2 linked regions of the Rattus norvegicus genome follow. The protein of the gene in region 2 binds, or shares a complex with, the protein of the main gene of each other region. Links are inferred from orthologs where the notes say so. Each region holds a gene or a part of one and is shown on either strand. Other genes may lie near its edges.

Region 1 (3,753 bases), on a different chromosome or scaffold from region 2:
GGCCAGAAAAAAGGCACTGAATCATAGGAAGCTAGAGTTATAGACTGTTTTGGCCCACCTGACATGGTTGTAGGGAATTGAACTTGGGTCCTTGAGACTAGCAGTCAGTGCTCTTAATCTCTGAGCCATCTCTCCAACCCTTATATTAAGGATAGGTTCTTACTATATTATACAGACTCGCTTTTCTTGGGCTCAGGCGATCCTCCCAAGTAGTAAGCTTGCATAGCTTTATATCTGCCTAAGACAAACACACACTTTTTTGGTGACTGGCTAACATGGGTGCTGGGGACTGAACTTTCAAAGAGTAGTAAATGCTCTTAACCACTGAGCCATCTCTCCAACTGTAACACACACACTTATTTTGGCGTGTGGTGTGCTGGGACTGAAATCCAGACTTCACATCTGCCTAGAATATACTCTATCACTGAGTGACACCCCAGCTCTATAATTTTCTATTGTTAATTTTTCTTGTTACCCTCCTGTACTATTAGCTCTATAAGAGCAAGAATTGGCTTTCGCAATCCTCTCAACACTCTATTCCGAATACCTAGGACAATATCCAAATCATATATTGGGTTTTTAGTCGTTGAATAATTAAATGCATGCAGGTTCATTCACATAGCAGAGTCTGGAGCTACAATTGTGTGCGGAAGCTGGCTCGTTCTTTGCCTGGTGGCATTCACCATTTAGAAGATGATAGCTGGGACACTAAACACCTGTAAGACTATATATTATGCTAAACCCGGTGAAGGGAGTTGAATGTGGTACTGTGAAGGTCCTACTGTGGTGGGAAGGAGATAGGCTTCATTGAAAGTGCACGTAAAAGATGAGCTAACCATTCCAAAATTCTCCATCTCTGGCCTTTGATTCTCCCCAGAACCCTTCTGAATCCCAAGCTCTTAAGGGAAAACCGCACCGCTCAAGTCTTTGGTCCGCTAATGCACTAACCTCTGAGAAGCTCACAGGTCCCCGGCGTGTAAGCGGCTTGCTTACGGCAGCGGTGGAACCCGGTTCCGTTTGCCACTGCGTCCACCCTCTCCTGTGAAGCCATGGGAGGGTTCTAGGAGGGAGAGAAGGAATGACCAGCCCTCTTCCCGCGTCGCAGACAGACCTCTCATCGCTAGCAACCTAGGAGACTGAGAAGCTGGTGCTCGACCCCTCGGCTCCGGACAGCGCGGTGACCACAGTCCTTATCCTGACGGTCTAGGGCGGAGCGCTCACCATCAGCGATGACCCGGGCGTGACAGAGCCTTCCTCACGGAAATCCTCCGGGGAGCCAGAGTGTGAGCGTCCTCACCAAGCACTCCTTATTACCATGGTAACTAGCAGACACGCCCCCACGCACGCGCATTAGCGCTCGCGATCGACTGCCTCCCGGAAGTGATTGCGCCTAGGTCACGGCGCAAGCGCAAACCACACGTGTTGCCGCAAGGGGCTGAAGCGCGCGTTTCTCTGCTCTGCGACCCGGACCGGCCAGTAAGGAGAAGGTATCATGTCAGACAACGAAGACAAGTGAGCGCGGGCCACGGAGGGACGGAGGTTGTGGTGCAAGCCGGGCTCCTGGAGTACAGGCTAGTGGGTCGGTGGGGCGAAGTCTTCAGAACTTATTACCTCGCGGAGCAGTGGGGACAGTGGGCAGAGATTTCGTCCGTGTAGCCCCTGCCCACCGAGCGCTCCCTTTCTGGAAGTGAATGCCAGTGGTGTAGCTTGCGTAGTCGTGGAAGTAGGGAGGAAAGAGCAACCCAGAGAATGGCCTGGAAGGCTGGGAGCAGACGCGGACTTGGACTAGGTGAGATAGTAGCAAAGGTGGCCAGAAGTGGGAGTGGACTCTGGAGAGCTTGAAGTTTAGTGTTGTTTGAGACAAAGTCTCACTCTGAAACCCAGGCTGGCCGGGGATTCATGATGTAGCTAAGACTAGCTTTGAATTTGCTACAGTCTTTTGCTTCAGCTTCCCAAGTGTTGGTATGTCTGGTATGTGCTACCAGACCCAGCTGGATTATAGACATATTTTTATTTTATTTATTTGGAGAACAAATATAACCATATATCAGGTGGTTCGAACTTAGAGATCCATCTACCTCTGCCTTCCAAGTGATGGGTATTTTTGTTCTTTTTTGAGACAGAGTCTCTCTACATAGTCCTAGCTGTTCTGAAAGTCAGTGTGTAGATTAGGCTGTCCTCAAACTTACAGAGATCTGCCTGCCTTTACCTCCTGAGCACTGGATTACAGGCGTGTGCCACCATGCCTGGCTCCTGATATATTTTAAAGATAGAACCTAAGGGATTCCCTGATGGGCTGGCTGTATGTGTTAGGTCAAAAGATAAACTATGGTAGTCCAGCTATATCAGTAGTATAGATGTATCAGTCAGAACTCAGAGGCTGGGTGTGGTGGCTCACAGGTATAATCCTAGCACTTGGGAGAGGCTAAGGCAGGAGAATTGCCATGAACTAGATGTCAATCTGTGCTAAATAGTGAGTCTCAGGCCAGCCAGAGTTACATAGTATTCAGGAAAACTGACTTCAACACAAGCAGACAAAACACAGGCAAAAATGCAATGAAAGCAGAGATGGCAGTGCTGACCAGGGCAGAGTGCCACCAGAGAAGAGATGGCTAGTTAGTGACTGAGGGAAGAGAACCCAGAAAAGGAGCCCCTTCCCCAGAGTGGGAAGCAGGAGGAAGGAGCCCGGTGTGCTGGCTGTCGGATGAATGTCTGTGGCAAGGGTTCAGCACTGTAATGATCGTTAGTGAAGCTGGGAGTGGTGCAAGTGTTTGGTCCCAGCACTCAGGGCAGACAGGGGCAGAGGGATCTCTGAGTTCAAGGCCAGCCTGGTTATGGAGTGAATTCCAGGACAGCCAGGCAGCACAGAGAGACACTTTGGGAGGGCTGGGTTAATCGGTGAGCACACAAAGGGTGGCTTTGGAGCTTGAGGGTGTGTTGAAAGTCTTACTGAGGCGAGAATATGACAGGGAAGAGAAGAATTGGCAACAGTGGGTTTGGCAGCTTCCTCATACATTTTGTGCTACAGGAGGCTGATGGAATGGCTCAGTGGTAAAGGTGTTTTTGCTGCACAAGTAGAAGGAGAGAACAGGAAAGGTTGTCCTGGTGGTGTATGTGGACCCGGTAACTGGAGGCCATGAAAATGGCAGTGTTGTCTTGGCCTTACGTTTGTTTGTTTTGTTTGTTTTCTCCACCATAAGGGAATATGGAATTAGACTGTAGCAGGAGGAGAAAGAGAATAATGATTGGTTGGCTGGTTAGTTGGTTGGTTTTTTTGTTGGTTTATTTGTTTTTTTTTTTTTTTTGTTTTTTTTTTTTTGTTTTTTTTTTTTTTGGTTCTTTTTTTCGGAGCTGGGGACCGAACCCAGGGCCTTGCGCTTCCTAGGTAAGCGCTCTACCACTGAGCTAAATCCCCAGCCCCGGTTTATTTGTTTTTAAAAGAGGCCGGTGATGCTGGTAGTGTGTTGGTCCTGAGAAGGCTGGGGATTTCATGCATGCTGTATATACACTCTACTTTTGAGTTACAAAAGTAACTCCAGTCCTGGAGTAAACTTCATTTGCCTTTGCTCTTGAGACAGAATCTTACTATGTAGCCCAGGTGGAGTTCAAACTCCTAGTTCTCTTACTTCCACTTTCCAAGTGCTAGGCATACTGGAGTGTGCCACCACACCATCAGATTTCTATTTCTCTTCTTACGATAGGCTGACGAGAGGGATGGCTTAGAGGTTGTCAACACTTGCCAATTTTCCAGGG
Region 2 (2,739 bases):
ATCCTTCTCAACTTAAGTTCAGATAACTTGGGTTTAAGGTCAGGTTGGCACCAAACGAATGTGTGTGTGTGTGTGTGTGTGTGTGTGTGTGTGTACATACATCCCAGCTACTGGGTTCGTCTAGTGTTGCTCTTATATAGAACACTGACCACTTGTATTGGATAACCAACCGGTTAGGGGCTCATCCCTGAGGAGGATGTGACTCTGTGTCTCCACGGTCCTCAGTTGCTGTGACCCTTCATGTAGAGGCAGGACTTGGAGATTCCCCATTCGAGCTGCATGTAGGCTGTCATTCAGGTTTTGGTTAGGCAACTCTATATAGTGCTGCAGTTAATGAGTGCAGCTTCTCTGTCACATACAGAAGATACTGTCTCACGTCAGATGTCCTGATCCTGTGGCTTTTCATGGTCTTTCCACTCCCTCCTCTGCCATGTTCCTGGGTTGTGTTGTGAATATATCTGTTGGTGATAGGCATCCCAAGGCCAGTTGTTCTCCAGTTTTGGCCATTTGTAGCTTTTTGTAATGTTCTCCATCTGCCTCAAAAAGAAGCTTCGCTTGTGAGAGCTGAGAGTTGCTTCCCATTCTGATGTGTGTGAAGATGATGTCTTGATTTTATTTGAATAAGAAGTACTTTTATGGTAAAAATTAGAGAATATTATACATGGAAACTTCGAGGACACCTGATGTGAGATAAAATGAAAATGTAGAAAAAATAATTTACTGGCATCAGCGCTGAGTGTATCTACCTTTCTTGTTGCGGAACCTACTTCTATGTACAGTGGTAAAGCATGGGCTGAGAGAGGAGGAGGCTGACTTTGCTCCTCTGCTCTTCACTAGTGCTCCCCAGACTTCCCAGTTGAACCTGCGCTGGAACAAGCTTGTGCCCTAAACTCCTAGAGCATGCAGTTTAATTCATAAACATATCTCACTGTACCTTGATTAATCAAAAACTAAGGAACTGCATGTTAGCTTCTGGGCTAACCAGGAAGAAACCCTCCTTGGGGAGAAATGAATGTGTTACATAAAGCTTCACAAGAGACTGAAAGTGGTTTACAGACCTCTGTTACAACTGTCCTGAACCTGAAAGGTAATGGGAGTCCCTGCCAGAGGCCTGATGGTGTGAGACTTTAAGTGAGGTTTCAGGTGACTCAGACTATTTCCAAATGATTTCTTTCCAGATGCTGAGTTGATACCTTTCTTTTGTTTTTGCCTACAGATTGAATATGAAAGGAAGAAGAAAGAAGATGGAAAGCGAGCTCGGGCAGACAAACAACACGTCCTAGACATGCTGTTCTCAGCCTTTGAGAAACATCAGTACTATAATCTTAAGGACTTGGTGGACATCACAAAGCAACCTGTGGTATGTATACATTTCTAGTGATCTTTAAGTATACCAGACTTTATTAGCATATCACTAGTGAGGAGAAACGTGATCAGGTTCACATTCACTCTGCTAATGACAGAGTTTATGTCAACAATCAGAAAACAGATTTTTTTTTTCCCCCAGAGCTGGGGACCGAACCCAGGGCCTTGTGCTTGCTAGGCAAGCGCTCTACCACTGAGCTAAATCCCCAAGCCCCAGAAAACAGATCTTAACATAGCTTTATCTTTCGAACATCCACTTCATTACTTTAGATTTAAAATACATGTAAGAGCTATTAAAATGGCTCAATTTGTAAAGGCACTCGGTTCAAATGCTGATGATGCCCAGAGCTTTCTGTGGAAGCAGTAAACCCACTCCTGGAAATTGTCTTCTGACTGCTACACACACAGCCAGGCACTTATGTGTGCGAGCATGTTTGCACACATGATAATGTTAGAGCCTGGAGAGGTGGTTCAGTGGTTAAGAGACTAGTTGCGGGGCTGGGGAGTTAGCTCAGTGGTAGAGCGCTTGCCTAGGAAGCACAAGGCCCTGGGTTCGGTCCCCAGCTCCGAAAAAAAGACCAAAAAAAAAAAAAAAAGAGAGAGACTAGTTGCTCTTCTAGAGGACTCAGATTTGACTCCTTGCACTCACTATCTTAACATCAATCTGAGATCTGTTAAGCAATTTGCAGTCTTTTTAATTTTTGCTAAAATGCCCATGATTCAGTATTCGCGATTCAGCTAATGACTTAATTCCCTTTGGCAGTACAGCCTGAGAAACAGCATCCATGCTAGATTAAAATATTTTTAAAGAATACTTTGTTAACAAGCTGTATTTCTTCTGGTTATAATGAAGTCTACCTTTTGTTATTTTGTATGTAAATATGCCTACAGGAAAGACTTTCCCAGACAATGAGCGCAGATGATGTATTCCTACAGAATGAAATGTACACACAGTTAGACAGGGAAGTAGGCAGAGTAGAGAGGGGGGCATTCTAGTAATGGTAGGGAAGCAAGTTCCTCAGTCCTTGTTCTTAACACAGGGTATTGGGCTTATTTGCTTCACATTGAAGGAAGGGGTTTATTAAAATGTCTATCTGGAGTAGATAGGTACTCAGGGGCTCCAATAAAAAGATCCCAAAATCAAGGCCAGGGTGGAGTATATAATACATATGTGGTCTGTCCCCAAAAACTGATTCAGTTCAGACTGTTGTTGCTGCTACTTCACTTCACTCTTTGTGTGGGGATGTTTTGCCTGCATGTGTGTCTGTGCCTGGGGAGGCCAGAAAAGAATATTGGATGCTGGGAATTGAACCCAGGTCCTATGAAAGAGAAGCCAGTGCTCTTAAACACTGAGCTAACTCTCCAGCCCTGGTC

The links. The genes of interacting proteins can lie anywhere in the genome.
Region 1: Gtf2f2 (region 2) and Polr2f share a complex: the UniProt entries of both Homo sapiens proteins name them as parts of the TBP-based Pol II pre-initiation complex. The link is inferred for Rattus norvegicus from reciprocal best matches to the Homo sapiens genes GTF2F2 and POLR2F.

What each region holds. Positions count from the first base shown.
Region 1 is NC_086025.1:112,591,617-112,595,369, forward strand, and holds the start of Polr2f (DNA-directed RNA polymerases I, II, and III subunit RPABC2), read left to right. Parts: upstream 1-1,447; 5' UTR 1,448-1,492; coding exon 1,493-1,512; intron 1,513-3,753. Other genes in the region: C7h22orf23 (UPF0193 protein EVG1), read right to left, coding at 949-1,060, 1,222-1,224. UniProt on the Homo sapiens protein: DNA-dependent RNA polymerase catalyzes the transcription of DNA into RNA using the four ribonucleoside triphosphates as substrates.
Region 2 is NC_086033.1:57,628,331-57,631,069, reverse strand, and holds part of Gtf2f2 (general transcription factor IIF subunit 2), read left to right. Parts: exon of another isoform or gene 1-1,216; coding exon 1,217-1,360; exon of another isoform or gene 1,361-2,739. UniProt on the Homo sapiens protein: TFIIF is a general transcription initiation factor that binds to RNA polymerase II and helps to recruit it to the initiation complex in collaboration with TFIIB.